Linked DNA regions of Drosophila melanogaster. The gene in region 1 interacts genetically with each later gene. Each region holds a gene or a part of one and is shown on either strand. Other genes may lie near its edges.

Region 1 (7,233 bases):
CTGTTTGGCATCAGCCCAGTAGATCTTGCTGTTGGGGAAGTCAATTGCCAGGCCATTTGGCCAGGTTACACCCTTTGATATGATTACTTTTCGCTGTGTTCCATCCATGTAAGCGCGCTCTATCTTCGGATTCGGTCCCCAGTCACTCCAGAAGGCCAACGCCTCGCCCGGATGCACCACAATGGCACGTGGCTTGTCCAGATCGTAGGATGCGATGACGGTGCGCAGGTTTCCCTGGAAATTGGAAACCTCCACACGTCTCGTGCCCGAATCCGTCCAAAATAGCAGGTCGTGTATCCAATCGACTGCAATGCCACCCGGCGACTCCAGACCCCATTTGATGACGTCTCGAACTCGCGTTCCATTCATATACACCATCTTGATGACATCGGTGGACACGTCGGACCAAAACATCAGGCCCTTGCGATGGTGGAAGTCCAATGCGATCGCATTGTGAAGTCCCTTAACAATCGCCGAGTATCGGTTATTACTCAACGTCACCCGTCGTATGTCCCATCGGTTGGCCACCAGCAGGGTCATCGCACCACCCAGCGCTTTACAGGATCTGAGATCTGGACGAAGTATGTAGCCCGTTTCGCAGGAGCACTTAAAGGAACCCATAGTGTTGTGACATTTTTGCGAGCAAACCGGACTGGTCAGGTACTGGCATTCATCTATATCCGTGCAGCTAAACAATCGTGGCATCACTTTAATATCATACGAAATACCCGGTAAACAAATCGTCTACTTACTTGACTTTGTTTTTGTCCATGACATATCCAAGTCGACAGGCACACTCGTTCGATCCTGCAGTGGTTTCAATGCAGAGTTGCTCGCAAGGACTCGGTTCCGAGCACTTTCGTTCCTTGGGACAGTCGGCCTCGTCCTCGCCGGCGGGGCATTCGTTGTGGCCATCGCAAATGTGCTTCTGATGGACACATATCCTGAAAAATACAATCGGGAATTGGTAATTGGATTGCTTGTGATATGAGGACATCATGAGCAATTCAACTTACTTAAGATTTGTTAGGTTTTGTTTGGTTGGGCATAAAAATTGTCCCAGGTCGCATTGTAGGTGGCACTCAACCTCATCCTCTCCAGCAGCGCAGTCTGGATAGCCATCGCAGAGCCAAGTTTTCTGATTTGACAACAGAAAACTCAATGAGGTAAAGAAGTTAAGGAGACTCCAGTGGTCATACCAAAATGCAGCGCCCATTGTTGCAGGTAAACTCATCGGATCCGCAGGTCAGGGGATGCTCCGAGCCGAGACTACCGCAGTCGTTCTCGTCTTCTCCGCCGTCGCAATCCTGCTCCTTGTCACACTTCCAACGTTTGGGAATACAGGTGCCATCGGCACACTTGTATTCATTCGAGGTACATAGTGATGGCTTCTGGGGGCAATTCTCCTCGTCACTCCAGTCGCCGCAGTCGTTGTCGCCATCGCAGCGGAAACGATTGAGAATGCACTGGCCACTGGGACCACCTGCTCCACCCAAACCGCCGCGGCACTTGAACTCGCCCTCCGGACAGCTGTTTATGACCGCCGCGCACTTGAGCTCATCCGAGTTGTCATTGCAATCGTGCTCACCATCGCAACGAAAGGCCAGGGAGATGCAATAGCCATCGTTGCAGGTGAAGTGCTCATCCGTGCAGGTGGTGCGATTGCAGTGGGTCTCGTCGGAGAAGTCCTTGCAATCGTTCTCGCCATCGCATACCCAGGTTCGTGGAATACAGAATCCGTTGAGACACTCGAACTGATCATCTGTACAATTCGTCCTGGCTCCGCAGTGCGTCTCATCCGAGTAGTCACCGCAGTCATCATCTCCATCGCAGAGCCAATACTTGCTAATGCATCGAAAGGTTCGCGGGCACATCACATGTATCCCGGTCTTCTCGCAATCCCTTTGCAAATTCGGCACTGCATCCTCCTCGGGATTGCAGTTCTCGTCGGATTCATTGGAGTTCTGGCAATTGGAGTATGTCTCACCCGGTTGACTGGGATCGTCCTGCACCAGAACGGCCAGATTGACTCTAAATGGCTTCTGTTTGTTACTCGGACCACCTATAAAACCATCTCGACCACGTGAACTGATTCGATCAGTTTCGCGAATGCCGGCTATTTCGGTTCTACCCCTCTGGGCGCCAATGTTCCGGAACTTGGGAGTATCGTTTGAATTTGTGCCACCGGATATTCTAGTCTTGGATGGCACAGACGATTCCATCGTATGCAATCTTCCCTCTCCACTATGATGCACCTCCTGGCTATCCTCGTTATTCTGCTGATACGGCGGATAGTTGGAGACGGGAAAGAGTTTCTCGCCGAACTTGCTCAGCTCCTCCGACAGCTGATCCTCCCGCGACTCGTTGCCCGCCTCTAAATGTCCGATTCTGGCATCCGAGTGCAGCTGCTTGTGCTTATTCCAATCCCAACGACCCAGTGCGTTTGTCGGGTGAATTCCATAGTGGGGCGCGTTACGTTTCACAGCAGTTTTTGTCAAGTCGCCGAGACCGAGACCTAGTCAAAGGATTTAAATCGATACCATTTAACTTCTAATTAGCTCAAAATGCAGCAAAGGCTTTTGCCTTATCATACAAGTTCAGTCGTGTTAAGTTGAATTGAATGTTAACTACAAGTAGTTAAAGGAAAACCCCCCTATTTCTCATTCAAAGCAGATAGCAAAAGGCACGTTTTGCTATTGTTCCCACGCCACTGCAATGTTCTTGGAAAATACAACACTTTTCATAGGAAAGGAGCATTGAATGCAATGCTTCTGATTTGATACATACAAAGGTCATGTCTTGAGTTAAAAGGTTTTCCAATAGTTCAAAAACAGCTTTACAAAAACATGCATACATATGTACATACATACATATGTACATAGTCATGGACACGTTTTGTATGCAAGCAATATCCTTAAATAAAAAAGTTTCATTCAATTCGATGCATGTTCTTTGATGCCTTGCACATACATATTATAGATTGCATGTTCCTGGAAATTCGTATTACAATTAAGCCCTCTTGAGCAGGGAATTTTCTCAATTGGCTAGTTTTCGTGTGCAAGTTTTCATTGAGCAAAAAGTGCTGTTGGTCTGAGCGCATCGTGGGCGTTAACAGAGAGATACCCTTCATCTCCCCCCAGGACAAACTGTGTTGCGAGGACAATACTTACAGAGCCACACGAAGCATACCAATGGCCAAAAGGGAAAGGCTGTCAAATACATGTCCAGACATGTACACAAACTCGCCCACTCATAGGCACGTAACGTAGTAGCGCTGCGAGCTTTACTGCTTTTGCTTCCGAAGCATTTGCTGCTCTGCTAAGCGGATGCTGCTGCTGCTGCTGCTGCTGCTGTGCTGTTGCTTTCTGCTAACTGCTGTTCCGATTCTGTTAAGAGAAAGAGAGGAAGGTAGAGAGAAGGAGGTTTTCGTATTGAGCGCTTGCGTATAACATATTTTGCTACCAAGGCGGATCTAGAGTTTTATATATATATTTCTTTTTTTGAGGGGGGGCGGGGCGTAACTTTTAAAATAATGAAATTCACTCAATGATTTTTTGTCTCTAGGTTTTGGACAATATAAAGTTAATGCAAAGTTTTGGGCTTGGGGGAGGGGGGTTACTATGCGCAAAACCCGCCCACCTGATGTATATGTTGTGTATATGTTACACTTAAGCACACTCGTTCTTTGCGTAGGTGTCACTCAATAGATTTTACTCTATTCATCTTATTTGTAAGCACTTGGTTACTTCTGGTCTTTGTTATTTACTTATTGTGTCACTGGGTTTTTTATGATTTACATAAATGTTTATTGTAAGTTAATAAATTTAAATGCCTGGCTTGTACGTCCTCAACATTTTTCACATTACGCTGTCTCACTAAACAGAAGGTTTATTGTGACTTTGTAGGTCCAGGACCGACTCCGTGAATGGATCAAATATCATGCGGCACGGCATTCATGGCACTACTTCATTCAATGTATATCCTATTATAAAGTTGCGTGGGCTTGGCACTGCGTTTGGCATTTCCAGAATGTGGTATAAAGGTGTTTATAACGTCCTGCGAAGTCCCCTCGCAAATGAATGCGATATTTGGGACTTTGTTGGCATTTATGTATGTATGTCATGAGCACCACACACGCGAACATATGCATATTAAACACAGTATTATTAAACAAAAAGAACCTCCTGAAACTTTGACACTTTTCGATTCCAATTAGCAAGTGGCGGGCGAGAACAATTGAATCAGCTAATTGTTCCACACACATTTGTGTGGGTAATTTACGTGAATGAAAAATTATTTTCGTACAGCACGTCTCTTGTCTTCTTCGGGAATATAACGAATATAAAATTTCAGGGGATTACAGCATCCCTCTGACGGAAAGCGAAGTCGGCGGACGCGAGTGTTCCACTCAACTCTCGTGTGCTGTTTCAAAGTTTTCTCTGAATCCTTAAGCTTTTTCTGGGAAGCGAGCTTTTGTCTGTGTGCCGAGAGTGAGGGTAAATTAATTTGCAACAACTAAGTTAGCAAAATGCGAACCCAATTAAGGATTGTATCATTGAAAGCATTCTCCACGCTGCAGTTTTTCCTAAAAAACAACAAAAAACTGCAGCACCGAAATTAGGACAATGGACATGGAAGTCCATTTTAATCTCGATGTGTACATATATCGGTACATCATTTCTCGGAAGGGATCCACAGGTTACTTTTGTTTATCATTAACCTGGCATTCCTAAGTCGCGAAAGCTTTTTACCCTTTTATCAATATCTTATTAATTATTAAACAAAGCAGCAAAGATTATATCTTTTTTTTACAATTGCTTTTAGAATTTTTTTAGTGAAATTATTTTAGGTTTCTTACATGTCTTACTGTTTGTCATCTAAAACTGTTTAAGTACAACCCTAAAGAAAATAACAGCAGTTCAATGCTTTTTGTAAGCGGTACAGGATCTTTAAGTGCAGCATTCATTTATTTACGACTCTTTCGAACAACCTGCCATTTAATCAACAGGTTCCGGCCATTTAAACGGAATTTAATAAGGGTGTTTTGATCACGATTCAACCTAGTAGGGTGATGCCAGTGAGTTTTGCATTACTGACCATTTTGTCGTGGACCACGATCGTTAAATGTATGACATGCCGAAAGATCGACTGTCAGTACCATCCTTACATGAATGCAGGGTGGCAACGCCCTAGCATATTTTAGTATTTTTGATTTTGCTGGAGTAATTGGAACACTTGAGTGATGTGAAATTCACATCAAGAGTAAGTTCGTAAGATCGTATAACAAAAAGCTTATTTAAGAAAAAAAGTAGTGCAATTAGAAGAACTTTGTTTTTATTATAAGGGTAAGACCCTTTTATAGTCCATCAAACCCATTGATGGATTATAAGTTTTTAATGTTCTAATAACAACCCTAAGTGAAACATATTTCACAAGCAACAAGTTGGAAACGCAATGAGGAGGTTCCCCTTTTCAACGTATTTCGCTTGCCTTTCATTGCAAAGGATAGTACTATACTAATAACCGATGAAGATCGATATGTTTTACTGATCGCAGTGAGCAAGAGATATAACTCCGATGACGGCATGCTGAACTAGTTTTTTTCTGCCATAAGGTGTAACTATCTGGTTCACATAAATGCTTTGTCCACGCCGGTTAAGTGGCAAACGTGTGCAACTTCGAGTATACTTTTTTAATAGTTAATTTACATTACTCCATGAAGTGCTGTGCCGTTTGTATATAACCAGAATTCCGAGAATAGGCGTAAGTGAAAACTTTTGTTCTCGAGCTGATCGTACATAGCCATGCATGTACATGTACATAAGTACATAGTGTGAAATGAACGAGTTATTTCTGAGCAGGTCGAAAAAATATGTAAATAATGTAATGTGCATATGAATAAGTCAAGGTATTAGGGTTATATGCTATACTCTAGTGCTCCCACAGGACTAAACACATATGCCCGCAGTGTGCCCATACTTGAGCAAATACTTGAATTAAATGTGAAAAGAAGGTTGCAACATACATATGTATGTATGTACTTATGTACGATCATTTCCTATTGTACGCAGTGTTCCCATATCGGAGTTACCCAAAGTTCCTGATAAATCGGCACACATAAATGGCTTGAGAGTGCGGCGATCCATAGAATCCATAGCTTTAAACGGAACGTATGGCCGATATAATGGATCTTTTATGCTCGGAAATCATAGTCTACGAATCAGATCCATCATTGTATCGTTTGAACAAACGACAGCAGCAAATGTCCTCACCGGCGATCATTCGGGATCAATCATCGATATGTTCATCCTTGGGGGACGCGGAATCCGATTCCCATCCGGATGCCCAGAACAATGCCGTAGTGTGCAATATGAAGGAGCTGGTGTATATATACGCGTCCGTGGACTCGGCTGCGAAAAATCCAGAACAATTGGAGCCGCCTCCGCCACCTCCACCACCGCCGCCACCACCACCGACAGCGACCCAATCAATCCAAAGTTATCCGCGTTACATCAGCCAGGAGCCACCGACGTCACATTGCCAACGACTCGACGAACGCCTGACCACAACAGCCGATCCACCCGCAACCGACAACGTGAACACTGCCATCGGGGATCCCACATTGTATTCGGATCGGTGTCTGGAGAATTTCCTCAAGGTCGAGGAGAAGCACCACAAAATTCCCGACACGTACTTTAGCATCCAGAAGGATATTACGCCACCGATGCGCAAAATTGTCGCCGAATGGATGATGGAAGTGAGTAATTAAACGAAATGTAGATACAGCATCCAAATCATATCAAGCTAGCCGACTGTGATATACGCATTATTTATAATCTGTTAGAAAATATTACCAAATAGATGGAAGTTTCCAAGAACTTCATTAATTAGTGTTTGTTTTAGTAGTCCTTATCGCACACCCATTACAATATTTTGACTACCCTTTTCGTTCATTAATTGAATACATGTTCACAGGTGTGTGCCGAGGAAAATTGCCAGGAAGAGGTCGTATTACTGGCATTAAATTACATGGATCGATTTCTTTCGAGCAAATCAGTACGCAAGACCCAGCTACAAATTTTGGCCGCAGCTTGCCTCTTACTGGCTTCAAAGCTCCGTGAACCCAGCTGTCGTGCTCTTTCGGTGGATCTACTCGTTGTTTACACGGACAACAGCATCTACAAGGATGATTTGATTGTAAGTACCTTTCTCGTAATACAATACCTTTCGGTG
Region 2 (6,749 bases), on another chromosome or scaffold:
CAGCCGCAGCAGGTGCATCAGGAAGAGGAAGAGCATTAACAGGCTGCCCTGCAGCACACCCATAAAAATCGGATCCTGGCCGAGAGTACCCAGGATGTGCCGGCTTAGAAGATGCAGCCTGCCGGCTAGTGATAGCAGCATGTGTAGGCGGTTCATGTAGCCAAGATAGAGATCCAACCAGTGGTCCAGCAGGGTCACTCGCCAATCGATGCTGAACGTGGCATTGGCCTGCATGGGGCAGGTGGCCTCTTCCAAGTCGGATGCGGTCGAGCCAAAGTCATCCATTTCTGATTCGATTCACTGCTCGATTCGACAATTGGATTTCCGATTAGACCTTCGCGAATTCATGGCAACTGGGCGCAGTAACAGGGGATGGCTGTGGGCGTGCGTGTAGGGGGTGGCGACCTTGACTTTCGTAGACCCCCACTTGCATCACGGACACCGCCGAACGAGTTTGGTCGAACACAAACACCACGCTGCACACACTCTCCTTACATAACAGTGGCCCGAGCGGGGTAAATAAATAAAATATATCGCACGGCGGAAAATCTGAAATATGAAAAGTATCTGTATCTGTATCTGCGCGAGTATCTTTCCTCGCTCGTCCGATTCGTTCAGTTGCGTCCGCGAGAATGTCGGAATGGCTTTTCGCTTTTGTTTTTGCCGCCTCTTCCTGAGCGGCCAAGGCGCAGCCGTTTCCAACTCGCGAGTATTTCTGTTCTGCTTTTTTGTTTCTTTTTTTTTTTTTGTCACAACTAAGTTTAGTCTTCGCCCGCTCACAGTCCGGCAGGGGGTGAGGTGTGTGGATCACCTAGAACCCATGCCCGCCGATAGTTTTCCTTAGAGTGATACACTGCGAGAACACTTCCTTACAAAGCAGTTAGGTCGCAGTCTTTGGCCAACAGATACCTTCTACTTTACAGGATCGTAATTTAGTGGCTTCGTAAATAACTAAATAAAAACTGAAAGACAGGTGTATTCGTATATAAATATTTTTTTACTGAGTATGAAATGGTTGCTTTGTGGGCAATTCTGATGAGAAATACTTATTCAAAAAAGTTGGATATTTTGTAAATGAATAATTTTATGCGCCGTGTATTTTGCTGGCGTCATTATCCAATGTACTTCATCAAGTCGATGTCGTGGCGCTGCTCGTTGTTCGCTGCCTTTGCCGGTCATGGACTGCACTACACCAGGAAAGAGTCCACCAAATGAGCACACACTCATGCGGGGCCATGCCCGTCAACATCATCGTCATCATCGAGTGCTTCGAGATTTCTTAGGCATCTTGCCAAATTTTCCCTCGCCCGTGCAGAGGGGTGTTCGACAGGCAGGATTTCGAATACCTCGAATTCCAAAAGGTTTCGAAACCACTTCGAAAGGTAGTTTCGAGCGATTAGGTGCGATTGAAAAATTCCTCGCAATGCAACTGCAGTTCCGTCCGCCGCCTGCACAATATGCAAATGTGTGAGTTCGTATTGGGACTAACCGGCCTTATTGATTTTGCAGCCCCGTTCCCAACTTGAGTCAGCCGTTGATCCTTATGGAGCCATGGCGATTTCTTTAGAAGGAAAAGCTTGCTGACATCTTGAGTCACCCTATTTCTGACACACGAACGCGCTCTACTCGGCGTACATAACAACACCACCACCAAACCCCCCCCCCCCCCGCACAACACAATAAAATTATTATTTATAGACGCCGAAAGAAGCGAATGAAAACAATAAGTCGGCTAGAAAATCAGTGCGAATACAGAGCAGCCAGAGGCAGTAAAACGTCATCGTTTTGCTCGATTGCAGTGAGTTTGTGTTATTGCGGGGATGCGCTGGGGGTTGGAGGTTGGTGATTGGGTTGGGGGTGCTCATTGGTTAGCCACTGGCGTCACGTGGTGCCTACTTGCGGTTAGGGCAATTTAAAAACGTAAACAAACCGAGCGGACTGAATGGAAGAACTCATGCGGGGGGATCGATGTAGGATTATGGGACGCAGGAGGTAAAGTTTGCTTGGTACCACTGTCGAAAAAACTGGACCACATAAGTAAGTATGTAGTGTGTGGAATCACATCCCATTCGGGATAAGCACACTGTGTGGCGAAGGGTATCGAACTAATGGGTTGCGTCAACAATGAGGCCCACTGTGCCCGCACAGTGGGAACGCGAATAGTGAGGCCATCCCCGAACGGCTCACATATTGGAGCAGCTCGTTACGGTTCGATAAATTTATTTCCTGCCTGTGAGAGACACGTGGAATACACGCGGCGTATACTTTATGTTCATATTTTATCCGCATGAGAGTGATGGGAAAGAAAACTGGAAAAAAGCTTACTTTACTAAGTCGAAGCTGGTATGCCCTTTAATATTATTTCATTAATTGTCAATTTATATTTTTATTTACATTACAGGCTTATACTGTGTCACTCAGAAATGGAACCTAATACCATTTTGTCAATACAAATTAAATGCATTTGGTCGAGTTACTTCGTTACTCAGTTGAGAGATTGAGTTGAGATATCTTAACAGAAAAGCGTTAAAGAGACGTCGCTTTCCAATGAGCAGTATTAGTTAACGTTTCTAGTAGTCCGTCATGAACACGTCTTGAAATAAACGTGTGGTCGAACTTTATACAAAATTACGGACGGACGGACACGCCCAGCTCTATTTGTTAAAAGATCCTGATCTTCTGATCATGTCTCAGTGTCAGTTCATGTCAAGAACATTTTTTTTGAAGATGAAGTGTTCAAGTGATCATGAAGTGATCGAAGGAAGTTTATCTTATAATATTGGCAAATATGGTATTTGTAGCCGAAAATAGAAATATATACTAAATTCTTATATTAATTTTATAGCACAATAAAAATGTTTTACCAAATAGGGACAACGATATCGATGAAGTACTTACAGACTGACGAATGGGCCGCGCAGTGCCGGCATATCCCGCCGTCGGTTGAGCGGCGGCGACAGCGACAGCGAGAGGAAGTCCTGCTGGGCCTTGTCCTCGTCGACGATGCTGGTCGGGGTGCTGTAGATGCGCGTAGTTGGCAGATAGCCAATCTGCTGCAGAAAGTCGTCGCGGTAGGAGAGCTTGGTGGTGGACTGAGAGGAGGTCAGCGGCAGGGACAGCGGGGATCCATAGAGCGGAGCCAGTGGCAGGGCCGCTGTCATCGAGGCCAGCGACAGAGGCTGCTGGTAGAGTCCTCCTGCACCGCTGCCAGATCCCGGTCCCGATCCCACACCGGAACCTGATCCCGCAGCTGTGCCGTTCCCATGGTGGTGTAGGTGGAGGTGGTGCGGCGTGGTGGCCGCAGGCTGAGTACCGTGAAAATGCGGATAGGGAATGCCGTGGGTGTAGGCTGGAGCGCGCGACAAGTACGGCGTATTGATGATCTTGTCGTCGAAGCTGCGACGGAAACTAAAGCCCTTCAGTGAGTTGCTGTAGTTTCGGTGAGAAAGCGGCGAGCTGCCCAGGTCAATGCTGGCCGCCGGGCCCAGGATCCCGGCAGTTAGACCGCATCCTGAGGAGGCGGTAACGCCGCTGGCCGTCGCCGTGGCGCTACCCAGCATACTCAGCGCAGGTGAGGTGCGCAGCTGAGGGCTGCCGCCCACTCCTCCGCCTGCACCGGAGGCCGTGGTGGTCGAGGTGGAGAGTGGCGGCGAGATGGCACTCAAAGTGGAGATGCCGCTGTCACTACTACATATGCCGGCCGGCAGTGACGTGTGGGTGGGCGAGATGAGGTGTGGGTGGTGGTGTTTGCCATTTGCGGCACCGATGAGGCCGGCCATGCCGCTACTGGGCAGTACGGGAGCCAGGATGCCTCCCGGGATGAGTTTCCTGATCTGCGCGGGGCTGGTCCTCGCCCTGTCCTAATGAATGCTGGGAAGCTAGAAGCAGCTTCCTCGCGTCTTTGTCCTCATCGTTGGCCTGCGCCCTTTGTTCCTGGTGAGGACTTCGTATATCATTCCTTGTGCGTAGGAAAATCAATGAAGGGACGCGCTTAAAACATGCATTTTAAGCAGCGCTTTTCTCGCTTTGTAACCCAAATTGCGCATGAAAAAAGTAAGGCGAAAATCCACACACGCACGCACACACTGCCACGAACTGGTTCGCGATAGAAGAGGGTTTTTCCACGGTCTGCCCTCAATTGGGCCTATTGGATTCCCTTTCGCCTTTCTTCGATGCTTTTGGCCAGGTACGTGCCCGTAGTCTAGTTAATAGCGGAATTGATTTATCCTCGACAAATAAAGCGAACACATCACATTTTCCACTTTGTGTTTTTGGCAGAAGCAGCAGCACGGAAAAGTCTTCTTTGTCCGCACTTGGCTCGAACTCTCCGACGGTCTGCCCTCCGGGTTCTGAAGCGGAAAACTCTGCGGCGAAGTTCAGCGATTCCGGGGAGCGGGCAAAGCGCATGTGCCGGCTGTGGCCCGTTACTGTCCCAAAACAAAACAAAGCCCGAGCGGAGAGAGTGAAAGCTAACTGCAAGCAGCTGGCGTCGTCGAAAGTTCCATCCCCGAAAATCAGTTTGTTTACCATCCTGGCAGAGCTTTTCATGGGCAAAGCCGACTAGGCAATACCCTTTGTAAAACAAAGCGGTGAGTTTGTATAATAAATTTATTTCGGCTTCTTCGTGTTAGACCAGAATACAATTGAAATTTGGAAACAATTGTTAAGTTTAAATTTAGTTTACTTAGTATTTTTGCTTTGACTTGTACGAACAATAAATACACACGCAAGACCGTAAAATGTAATTATTAATAATTGAATTTTATATATGTATGCGTGTTTATACTATAGATGAGCCGGCGACTCTCGGATCCCGGCCCTAGACCCAGGCGCCCAAGGACTTTTATCCTGGCCCGGAGCTGATCGGCAATAATTGATGTCAATGATTTAGAATGGGATACTACAATATAAAAGTTAATTACTGCTGGACTAATCGCATTCATTTACATTTAAAAGCGGGTTAACAATCAAACAAAAATTAATTAGATTCAATTCAATTTTGAAACAATTTGGAATACATAAATATGTGCAATACTTTCGGGGGTTACAATTCAACTTTTGATTACTCGTATTTAATTGTTTTATATATAGAGGGGATTATTAATATCTGTTATATAATTTATATTTGCGTTAATTGGATCGCCCTTCAAAGTGTCCTCTTCTTCGTCCTCCTCTGTTTAACTGTGTGATGCTTAATTGTTTAACTCGTATTTACATTTGCATTAGAATCGGATCGGAGCAATCTGCTGGGCGCGTCGCTCGACAATTCATCCTTTTTACATAAGTAGTTCTGGCTTTAACAATTTAGTGCAAAATAACAGAAACAATCGGTGAAGAGGAGATCTCGAGAACAAATTAGCTAGACTAAGCGACGACACAAATGCCACAAACTAGATACACATATCATATACATATATATAATTACAGTGCCTCTCTTCGCGACTGAATCCCAACTCACGGGCTAAGCCGCAAGGGATCCGATCCCCAAGCAAATGTCTAGACAAACTTCCGATATACAATTTCATCAACACCGAATGGTGTTTTGGTGATTAGCATGACTGGATAGGTGGAGATGGTGGCTTCGCGGCTTGGCTATCGATTCGAGTTGTATAGTGGTACAGCTGCAAGGCTAGATGCATGGCTTGAACAATGGAATTGGTGAATCGATTGCCCGAAGTGGACCAAAATCAACCTGACTGACCGGAGGGCGGCCACGAAGTTCGATAGTTTAAAATTAGAGCTAAGTGCTACGGCTTAAAATAAATACATTGGTTTCTATGTTTACTCGCTTCAACATATCGCGCATTTTAAAAACAACACTAATAATTATGAAATAAATCTGGTTTTCTCTTCTGTTACGATTTAGGGGCTTGTGTTTTCTGTGTCTGTATCTGAATGTGTGGTGTACGCAAGCACCCGGGTCTTGACTCGCTCGCAGCACTTGACTAATATTTTTGATTAACCATATCTAGAGTGAAGAGAGGGGGAGAGAGAAGTAGACAGTGATAAGTGAAAAGAAATCAAAATGTACGCGTTGCATAAGAAACGATAAAACTAAAATCCGTCAAACTTAAGCTACATTCTTTGAATATGTCTTGGATGGAAATTAAAATTTTCATTTCATTTAATTTGCGAAAGCTTGGAAAACAATCTTGAAAGGAGGTCTTTAAAATGGGGGACTTGAGTACGGCTGGCGCAGACCTAAGGAACGAAAGGCTGAGTCAATCAATCTATTCATTGGTCATCCTGCAGCTCGGGCAGTGTGTGGTAATGTAATTCAGCATGCAGATCTAAGTAAATGGATCCCATATTCGCGTGGACATGTACAGAAAGTGACTAAAAAATACCTTGCCGGATACACGAGCTTACTGCTAAGGGGGTGTTGATCTGATCGCTGGACGGGGTATGTCGACTGGTGACTGAATGCCTTCGCCACCTATCCAGCGACCGAAGGAAACAATATTTGTTCGATATATGCACAATAACAAGTTCGATGGTCAAAGACGCTTTGTCGGATTGCCAAACTAGCGGAGGCTGGCTGTGTGGTTGACTTCTGGACCAATTGCTTATATACCTGGCGTGTAAGTGGTCTGCTCCGTTGTGTTTAGCGACGTATTCTCGTTAGCTGCTACAGGGGCGCCGGTGAAGGGGTTTACTCCCACGGCTCCACTGGGCGGCGGCATGGCGAAAACAGGCTGTCCTCCGGCCTGTTCCCGCGGCTGTGAGGTAACGGGGGCTCCGCCCGCACC
Region 3 (10,080 bases), on another chromosome or scaffold:
TTATTATGTTCGTATATACTACACTCCGCTGGATGTGGCCAATCGCAACAAACTGATCAAATGGCTGTGCAGATACCAGGCCAGCAATTGCAGGCCAAAGGTTAACGTTCAGTTCGTAACAGGTCATGAAGTACCATCGCCGGATTACCGGGAAACGTTCTATTGTGCCGCCAGTGGTGCCGATTACAACTCATACACCATGTTGTGGGGTCAGTATTATTTGGAAAATCGCACTAGCGAAAAGAATATGCTCTGGGCTGCAATCAGCTGCACGAGAGACTACGAAACCCATTACCACAAGATGATCATCTCTGGTACGGAAAGTGTTGAACAAAAGAAAATTGGTATCGCCCGTATGTACGAGGAGAATCCTGACTTGGTTCAGGCAATTTTCGAAATGATTACCGAAAACATTATGGAATTAGCGTATAAGTGAGTTATTTTTCATAATTTGATCATCTGAGAGTGTGGTTTGATTGTTTATTGAACACTTAACCTTGTCGCTTTTCAGCTTCCAGAGTTGGTCGGGACACGGCCGAGGTGATCAATGACATGGCGGAGTACTTCACCACCCGGGAGCAACAGCAGTTGCTCAAGGAATTCTACTACAGCAATCACCAGTTCTTCGGTGAATCGGAAGAGCTGCTCTCCAAGTCCCTGGTCACTGTGGAAAAAAACCTTAACTGGGCGGAAACCCATTTGGAAGGCTTAGTAAAATATCTGGCGGACAGAAATGGTAGCTCCTGCCTGGGAGCCACTTCCTTGGTGGTGGTTCTGCTTTTAGCAGTGGGCAGCATGTTGGCCTGGCCCTGATTAGCCAATAAGTTGTGAGGGAAATAAAGAGATTGCCGTGGTCGTGCGCCGCGGGAGAAATGCCCTTTTCGTGTACGCAATTACTAGGCAAAAAGGTTTGGACGGCCCTTGCTTTATTAGGCCATAATTTACGCTGTCGAGCGGCCATTAGAGCGGCATCCGCTGGCCAAGTTGGTCTATAAAAGCCCGGCGGCTGCAAGTGGCGTTTTCCATTCCACGTGAAAGGACACTCGCAGTCGGGCCGACGAGATGCTGCGCCACCTGCTCCGCCACGAGAACAACAAGGTCTTCGTCCTGATCCTGCTCTACTGCGTCCTGGTCAGCATTCTGAAACTCTGCACGGCACAGCCGGATAGCTCTGTGGCCGCCACGGATAATGGTATTTGATAAGGCATTTGATAATATCATATTATTCGCTCTAATGGATTCCATTTACCATCCAGATATTACGCATCTTGGCGACGATTGTCAGGTGACGCCCGTCATCCATGTGCTCCAGTATCCTGGATGTGTGCCCAAGCCGATTCCCTCGTTCGCCTGCGTGGGTCGCTGTGCCAGTTATATCCAGGTGGGTGTTGATATACTTGAAATATAAATTATAATTTGATATAATCTGATGACTTTAGGTTTCGGGCAGTAAGATCTGGCAAATGGAGCGTTCCTGCATGTGCTGCCAGGAGTCTGGTGAGCGGGAGGCAGCCGTCTCGCTATTCTGTCCCAAAGTGAAGCCCGGCGAGCGTAAATTCAAGAAGGTCCTGACCAAGGCGCCATTGGAGTGCATGTGTCGGCCATGCACTTCCATTGAGGAGTCTGGCATCATACCACAGGAAATTGCCGGCTATTCGGACGAGGGTCCACTCAACAATCACTTCCGGCGCATTGCTCTGCAATAGATTCCCCCATCAGTTTAGCACTCATACCCATGCCCATTTGCTCATTAAAATAAATTAGAGTTGCCGTTTCTGCTTGTACACAGTGAAAAATGTGCCTCTGAAAGCTCATGCCAGTGAAAGGGAAACATCAGCAGATATATGATTATTTTAAATTGTAATTTATTTCCCAACTATCTCATGTCATTGCTACTAGTTCACTAAATGGTGTGTGTCCTGCTTCACAGGGTATGTATGTAGATGCGTAACTCCAAAGAAAACAAAGATAATCTTTACACTGCAACTGGATCTAACAATAGGAGTTTAACTACGGCATAATGCATATGACTCGCGCCGCCTACAAGTACTCGACGATATCGCATTTGATGGATATATTCGGACAGCTCTGGCCCACGGCACTGCGGCCCCGATAGTTGGGACTCTTCTCGGTGAGGAGTTTCCGGAAGATGGGCAAAATTGCCGTCTCGCCCTCGAGCAGTTCCGTCTCGCTGCTGGCGCCGTAGATGCTGCTATCCTGCTTGCCGCGCTGCCTGCTCCGCTGCTTATCGGGCGCCACATTGGGCGAACTGTGGTGGTGGGCGGCGTGCTGGATGTTAGAGCTCCGGCTGACCTTACGCGGCTGGACGCACGGCTGACTGTTGGGCGGCGGATCTCGTTCCCGTTCGCTGTCCGTCTCGCTCTGGCAAACGGTGCCCTTTTGCGGTTTTGGCCGATGTTTGTTGCGGTTCTTCTCGGAGACGGACCGCTGGATGGGCGAGGTGGTGTTCGGGTCATAGGTCATCCCGTGGCCGCCATGATGTTCCGCACAGCGCTGCGGACTGGCGTAGTTCCGCGGCGACTGGCGCTGCTTGGCGTGCGACAGCGTGTGCGTGTCCCAGAGGTCACTCTGTGAAACCACGAAATTGGACTTCAGAGCGGAGCCCATGCTGGTGCGGCGATGGTCGGAGGCAGTGGGAGCTATTTTCGATTAGAAAATCGATAGTATTATAGTATTATAAGAGACGCGCAGAAAACTTACTCTTAATCACAGCCGGAGTACTGGGCTTTGAGTGTGGACACATGTTGCTCAACTCCGATTGCGATGTGGAGATGTTGGTGGAGGAGTTCCGGTGCGAGCTGCTGTACTTTGGCCGGGCGGTGGGCGTCTGGCTGCCACTGTCGTAGTGCCTGGAGGCGGTCGATTGACGCCTCTCCCGCATGCTGGAGCAGTCTCCTCCGCTCCGCTTGCCCGCCGTACTGGTGATGCTGCCTATATTATCATCGGTCTGAGCGGACACCGAGTTTCTCTTCTCCAGATGGCGATGATGATGCTGCTGCTGCTGCTGTTGCTGTTGCATCTGCTGGTGTTGCTGCTGCTGCAGGTGCTGCTGCTGCATCTGCTGATGTTGCTGTAAGTGCTGCTGCAGTTGCTGCTGGATGGGCTGCATCATAGTTGGAGCAGGGGCATGCGAGTGGTGCTCTACAATCGATTGCTTTTTCTTTTTGCTGTTGGAGAATATCCATAGATTAGAGTGTATTTAAGACCAAAATTTAAGAACTTACGGAGGAAGCGATGGCGCCATCACTGTAGACTGCACCGACACAAAGGAGTTATCCATCTCCACATGAGTCGAGGTCACACTATCCACGGACGTCATCTCGGTAACTTCTATGACAAACGGGTTGCAATGCATGAACATATCTACGAAATCCCCCTCCTTAGCCACTCACCTGTGGTGCTGGGCATCTCTCGACGCACCGGTGGAGCTGAGAGCCTAACAATGTCATCGTTCAGTATGGGCTCCAGTTCGCTACCGACGTTGGAGCCACCTGTGCAGGTCACCCCATCGATCCATTTGCGTGCCTCGGGTCCCAGCTTGCGGATTAAGGCCTGCAGCTCGTTCTCCTTCTCCATCAGCGCCTTTCGGAATCGGCAGTTTGTGTTCTTTACATCTCGCAATCGTTGCTCCAGTTCGCACACCGAGGAATCCCGGCGTCCGTTTTTGGACATGGGTCTCAACGTGGCCCTAACGCGTTTGTCCACCACGCCCTGGGGATTCCGCTTCAGCTCCACCAACTGCAAAACGATTCGCATGAATATTAACCAAAGATTATACTACGCGGTCAACATCTAGGAAGGATCAACTCTACGGACAGTAATATAGGATAGTTAAAGATATTCCAACAGCAAGGAAGTGGGATTTGCCTACAACCTTGCTGCTGCTCTTAGTGGGTTCTATATAGTTCAAGTTTATAGTTAGTCTGTAGTGTTATATAGCATTTTAAGATCTGTTTTCGAGTACATGTTGTTTCTGTATCAAGGTGTATCAACGCTAGACGAAAGATCAGCTCAGCTGGCGGTAAAGTACGATCAGTTAAGAAGCTCTAACCACAACTGATCGGCCTATTACCGCCGACAAACAACATTCATATTACACGATTATTATATGTAACATATAACAGCTACAAAAACTACAAAACTTCCTTACTACCAGTCTTACTTTCGGTACGAACACCAAACACAAAGTGGCTGTCGTACAAAAAATGATAAAAAACGAGAGTAAGACAAAAACTAAATCCTTTCGATCCGATAGCACCAGGGATATAGCCGCTCCGGCCAGACAAGTGATGAACACGTTATAAACGGAGAAACCAATATGCTTGGAATCGTTCAGAGCCGGTATAGAAACATGTCGAGTTTCCCAGGCCAAAAAGGCGCCAAAAACCTATTGAAAAAAATTATTGCTTTATTATAATGATATCTTACAAATTAATGTTTATTATATACTCACCAACAACAGTCCCTTGTAGGCATAAATAATGCTAACGAATATGGTCATGTGCTCAGACTGGCAGTACTCGTTTTCGGGGATCACCAAGACATCATCAATATTCTCGTGATGCTGTAGTTAATAATAATCATTTTAGATTTTTCACTTCAAATATGTTCTATCAATGCACTCACCAAGGGTTCCAACTGTTTAGTTTCGCGGTAAAAGGGATCGGCAATCTGCCAGGTGGTTATAATGGCTATATCAATGGCCAAAAGCACGCCCACAACCATAAACAATTGATAGTCCTTGATCACCTTCTTATTGAGCTTCAGATCGGTGAATATCGAATGCACCCGCCACGTCTTCGAGAACATGGCTCCAAAACTGAGACTGAATCCAGCCATCAAGATCCAGGCTCGAGCTGTGCAGATATAGGGAAAAGCTGCCACACTACTTAATGTGGTATCGAGACCCAGGAAAATGATGCTCAAATAGGTCATCATACAGCCCACAATGATCAGATTGTTCAAATGGGGACTGGACATCTTGATGTATCTATAAAAACATCAATATTTTATTAAACGAAATTGTTTAATATAGCATTGTTAAGCTCACCTTTGATTGCGATACTTAATGTTAAAGGCCAGAAAAACTGTGGCAATAATCACTCCAATGACCGAAGCACTAGCCGATACAATATATATGGTTGGATTGACCTGACTGTGCTCGATGTAGATCAAAGTGCGATCCTTGGGAGGAGTTTTCCCCACCCATTTGACTGGTTTTCCCAAGCTTAAATCCAAGTGTGACTTCTGTGAGTGGTATTCCCCGATCTTTTCCATTTGTCCCAGCTGAAACTGATTGATCAGGATGTTGGCCTTGCGCTCGTTGTTGTAGAAACGCACGGGTCCCTTGAGAATGTAAAATATGTTTTAACTGCAAAAACTGGATTGTTTATCTATCTACCGTCACACCCTCGAAGGATGTATTACGTAGAGCCTCAAGGAAGACACTCTCCCAGTCCTTCACGCGATAATCAAAATGTGTTAGCAGATCCTCTCGCTTTTCGGCCACATACTGAATGGCCAGGGCAGCTGCCCAGATACCATCGTAGGTATAGCCATGAAAGCGGGAATATTCAGTGCCTCGCAGTCTGTCGTACTCCACAAGATACTCATCAGCAGTCTAGTAAAATATGAAATTTATTACAAGAATTTTAATAGACTTTACTGGTACTAACAATGCCAGCCACTGTGATGTCACCACTGGTGGACAAGGGCAAAAGATCCACTAGAATGGCACCTTCCAAGGCTGTAGCGATCTCCTCCACACTGCACTCGCTGTCCTGCGTGACATTCCACCAATCCGTGGAATAGGTAGCCATGATCAGCCATTGATAGGCTCTGCCATACATATCCAATCTGGAAGGGAGTTTATTGCAATAATTTTAAATTGAGACTTAAGTTAGTATATCCAACTCACTTATAAGCCTCACAGAATGCCTTGCGTGCAAAGTGCTCGTTAAAGTTGCCCAGAATGATCCTCACGTCCTTCTCGCGCAGTTTCTTCAATGATTCAGCCACATCGTTGACGAAGCTCTGCGTTTCCACCACCTCGACCTCCATGGCATCCAGGTCAGCCACCATGTGATTGTGGGGCAGCGAATAGCGTGGCTCATTCTGGTAGACAGTGCCCACTCTGGTCCAATTGAACTCCTTCAGCAAGGCCAGTCGCGGCGCATTAAAGGCATTCTCCGAGGGTACCACGCGAAAGAAATTCGGAAACGCATCCTTGGTGAACATGGGATGGGTGTCCGCGTAGCTGAGCTGGGTGAGGTGCCAGTGCTTGCTGGCCTTGGCTATGGGATCGGTCACATGGGTGCACGCAGCGCCGAAGAGCATCACTTTATTGGGACCCGAATGCATCATATCGAAGAAGGACTTTACGCCCACAGCAGCATTGCACTGGAAAGGAAACCAAAATTACATTCCAGAATATATGGAAATATGCATAGGTAAAGGTGTGATATTACAATATGAACCAATGAACATTAAAAAAAATACCTAATTGAACTTTAAAAACCACAAGTCCATCATCAGAGATTCACTTAATGAAATCTTCAAGCTAAACCCTAACTCACCTGAGTGTCGTTCCACCACATGTGCAGCCTGTAGTTGGCCAGTATCTTTCCATGCTCATTAACGTGACCCAAGGCGAGCTTTACACTGGGCATAACGCCCCGACCGGTGTAGGAGTTTTCCACGCCATCCCCGTACGGGAAGAATCCCGCTATGTAGACGTCCGATCTCTTGGCTGTCCTGCCACAGGCGGTGCTCCAAAGGAGCAGGAACAGCAGGCTGGCGAATGGAAACCAACTTGGCCGGAACATGTTGACCGCGTGGGCTGTAAAACGATTCTAAATGTGAATAGCGCATATCGAGGACGTGAACTTGGAGCCAAGTTGTGGGTGGTGAATGGCAGTGGTTGGTTTCGGGTGAGCCAAGGCTGCCGAGGCAAGGCTGCGCCCAGTGGGTGTGTATTATTTTCTACGTTCTACCTGTGTTTGCTGGCACTCGCATGCAATTTTACAGGACAGGTGGAGCAAGGCTAAGGCCAGTCCAGGCCAGCAAAATTGCTTCAAATTGCTGCAGCAATGCTGGCACGTTTAGTAATTATAAAGCAATTTAATGATCTAAAGGATTCGTGCATTATTTAGTATGCTCGTTAACGCGAAGGAGTATCTTCCAGGTGTTGCATCCTCTTAAATCTTATGTGTACATGTTTTTAGGAACCTACCAGCTTGCTTAGTCCCAGAACTGGCTTTTATTTCACTACCGATGCCATTTGAAACACTTATTTTACATCAAATCTCAGCCAACGAAGAACTTTTGCAGTGCGAGGGTCCGAAAAATTATGTATCCCCCTGACTTGACATTTGTCTGACAGGAGGAATTCGAGGCAGGAAGTGCGCATGTCCTTAAACCGAAAGCTGTCACTGCTCCGCCTTGGCCTAGGCTTTCCAACCCCCGTAATTACCATAAACCCACTGCGCTTGTAAACATCCTGCAACAGGTGGTCCCATCAGCTGGTACTCCGGCAATTGTTGTGCCCGTTGCCATGGACTACTGGGGTCGAAAAACGAAGTAGATAACTGCTCGGAAAATTACCAAATTGAAAATTGTGAGTAACCATAATGGAGGACTATGCGCCCAGCCGCTATAAAATGCTTGAGAAAATCGGCGAAGGCGTCCATGGCTGCGTGTTTAAGGCCATCGATCTGCAGCGCAACAAGGAGGTGGCCATCAAGAAGGTGGCCCTTAAGAACAAGTTCGGAAACATAGCCCTAAATACTTTGAGGGAAATCAAGACCCTGCAGCTTTGCAAGTCTGAATATGTAGGTATACCATATATCTATTTTCCATTTGTTAATTATGTAACTAATTGTAGATTCTGGACATCATTGATATATATCCTGACCTAACTGGTCTCTCCTTGGTGCTGGAATACCAGCCGGACACTCTGTACAACCGCCTCAAGAGCGAGGTTAATCCCCTGAGCCGCCAGCAGGTGCGTAAGTTTGCACACCAAATGTTCAAGGGGATTGCATATCTGCATGAAGCGGGTCTCATGCACCGGGATATTAAACCCGCCAATCTGCTTATCAGCGATACAGATATGCTTAAGATTGCCGATTTCGGACTGGCCCGTCTGTACTTCCCTGAAGACGAGTCGCGCCTTTATTCGCCTCAGGTCTCAACCCGGTGGTATCGAGCGCCAGAGATTCTATTTGGCAGCCAGAAGTATGGAACCGGAGTGGATATGTGGGCGGCAGGTTAGCCATGACTCTTTGATGGGTTTACATATATCCTTATGGCTGACATTATTGCTATCCAGGTTGTGTTGTGGCGGAGATGCTACGCGGAGTGCCCCTGTTTGCGGGAACCACCGACATCGAGCAATTAGCCATCATCATTCGCACTCTGGGCAGCCCACGTCTGAATCAGTGGCCAGAGCTGACTTCTCTGCCGGATTACAGCAAGATACGGTAGGCATTCTTACCGTCTATGATTACTTAATCCGTAATATTCTTGACGTAGGTTTCCCAACTCCGTGGGCATTCACTGGGACAACTTGTTTCCCAGCTGCACACATGCGGTGGAAATCAATCTGGTCTCGAATCTGGTGGTCTACAATCCCAAAAACCGACTCAAGGCCAGCGAGGTGGGTTCTGCTTCAAGTTTGACACCGGTTAGGTATTATAATTGGTAAATTCTATATTTCTCAGGCCGTCGAGCATGATTATTTTCATTAATCTAGGACTATTTACACGGACATTGCTAGCAACTAAGAGTTTTCGGATTCTTTGAATCTGCAAGGTAGAATGTGTGTGATTAGTTGTGGAAGTGAAGGAATATGTTTATCAGGACACCTACTTGCACTTAAGGCAGGTAAAGAACACCGTCTGGCCTTCGTCCGCCGATCGAAGCTGCAGGGTGGCATAGGACATCTTGTCGTGGTTGCACTTGGGACACTTCCTCTCCACAACGGGGCCATCCGCGTCCGATTCCGACTCCCTTTTCGTCCTGTTGAACACCTTGCTGGGATCGTAGGTGTTGAAGTGTATGGTAAACTCGGACTTCTCGCCGCTGTAAACTATTTTTAAGTGTTAAATAAATTAAACAAAGTTGTAATTTCTGGATTTACCATCTGGCTGAAACTCCTTCTTGCAGTTGTAGCAAATCACATTGCCCTTGACTTGAAGCTCGGGCAGAATGGAGCCGCAGGAGGGGCAAAAGCCCGGACAATTGGAAAAAATATCCATGCCAGTATATATCACCCAAAATCAAAATCAAAATACAAAAACCGCACGTGCTATTTCGGATTTCAGTATGAGCGTAACTGAACCGTTTGAAATATACCACACGGTATTAAAAATATACTTGATTCATATACTAAATACGTAAGGGTGGAAAACTAGAATAAGTCTGGTTGAAAGCCTTGATGAAACGGGTAGAGCCGTTTACCCGTTTCGATTACCGGTTCTTAATCAAAATCAATTATTCAAAATAAACTTTCAAAATAGTATTTGATATTCATAGCCAATATTACGTAATGAAAACAGTTAGATTTTAATAGCCAATATCAAGTTATGAAAACAGTAAGATTTTTACTTTTATCTTTACTTTGTATTAAAGTTTACAAAACTATTACATCAATAAGGCGATCTTACGGTCTAGTTAGCTGAAATGCAAGTCGGATGTGTACTGTGTTCCAATTAAACTACCTAAAACTATCACAGGCAGAACATTAACTACGCACTAGAGGTTCCTAACTACAACTAAGCATCTAGGAACTATTGATCCTTGGCTGCCACATATCGCACAGTATATATATATTTAAAATGCAGCTATCGGGTGGGATGACTCTGCGGCATGTTAAGCTCCCAGAGCTTCACATTGTTGTCGAGAACCTCGTGGTACCAGCTCTCCTTTTCCGGCTCCTCCCGGAAGATGGGCTTCAGCGACTTGAGGTCCAACTGCAGTATGGCATCGTTGCCGAGCAGCGAGTCCAGGGATCGCAGTAGAGTACTATTACCGTGCAGTTTCAGCAGGGTCACATACTTG

Evidence for each region.
Region 2: of Lrp4 (region 1) and Srpk79D, changing one suppresses a phenotype caused by changing the other (phenotypic suppression), as found in Drosophila melanogaster (one study listed by BioGRID).
Region 3: of Lrp4 (region 1) and GABA-B-R2, changing one suppresses a phenotype caused by changing the other (phenotypic suppression), as found in Drosophila melanogaster (one study listed by BioGRID).

Annotation. Positions count from the first base shown.
Region 1 is NC_004354.4:15,908,061-15,915,293, reverse strand, and holds the start of Lrp4 (LDL receptor related protein 4), read right to left. Parts: upstream 4,425-7,233; 5' UTR 4,306-4,424; intron 3,928-4,305; exon of another isoform or gene 3,640-3,927; intron 3,387-3,639; 5' UTR 3,223-3,386; coding exon 3,171-3,222; intron 2,516-3,170; coding exon 1,200-2,515; intron 1,139-1,199; coding exon 1,017-1,138; intron 945-1,016; coding exon 753-944; intron 689-752; coding exon 1-688. Other genes in the region: CycD (cyclin D), read left to right, coding at 6,185-6,757, 6,976-7,197.
Region 2 is NT_037436.4:22,271,588-22,278,336, reverse strand, and holds the start of Srpk79D (Serine-arginine protein kinase at 79D), read right to left. Parts: upstream 4,353-6,749; 5' UTR 3,780-4,352; coding exon 2,899-3,779; exon of another isoform or gene 2,846-2,898; intron 2,792-2,845; exon of another isoform or gene 2,621-2,791; intron 974-2,620; exon of another isoform or gene 286-973; coding exon of another isoform or gene 1-285. Other genes in the region: Csp (cysteine string protein), read right to left, coding at 5,946-5,968, 6,575-6,749.
Region 3 is NT_033777.3:21,768,489-21,778,568, forward strand, and holds GABA-B-R2 (metabotropic GABA-B receptor subtype 2), read right to left. Parts: upstream 7,353-10,080; 5' UTR 7,253-7,352; intron 6,860-7,252; 5' UTR 6,846-6,859; coding exon 6,597-6,845; intron 6,421-6,596; coding exon 5,939-6,420; intron 5,878-5,938; coding exon 5,697-5,877; intron 5,642-5,696; coding exon 5,423-5,641; intron 5,368-5,422; coding exon 5,072-5,367; intron 5,012-5,071; coding exon 4,648-5,011; intron 4,586-4,647; coding exon 4,475-4,585; intron 4,409-4,474; coding exon 4,172-4,408; intron 3,760-4,171; coding exon 3,414-3,759; intron 3,352-3,413; coding exon of another isoform or gene 3,349-3,351; coding exon 3,246-3,348; intron 3,189-3,245; coding exon 2,722-3,188; intron 2,661-2,721; coding exon 2,041-2,660; 3' UTR 1,845-2,040; downstream 1-1,844. Other genes in the region: Burs (bursicon), read left to right, coding at 1,063-1,192, 1,257-1,381, 1,440-1,706; CG6800 (uncharacterized protein), read left to right, coding at 7,650-7,850, 7,904-8,288, 8,351-8,501, 8,554-8,725; Polr1H (RNA polymerase I subunit H), read right to left, coding at 8,801-8,825, 8,890-9,109, 9,161-9,278; tsl (torso-like), read right to left, coding at 9,864-10,080.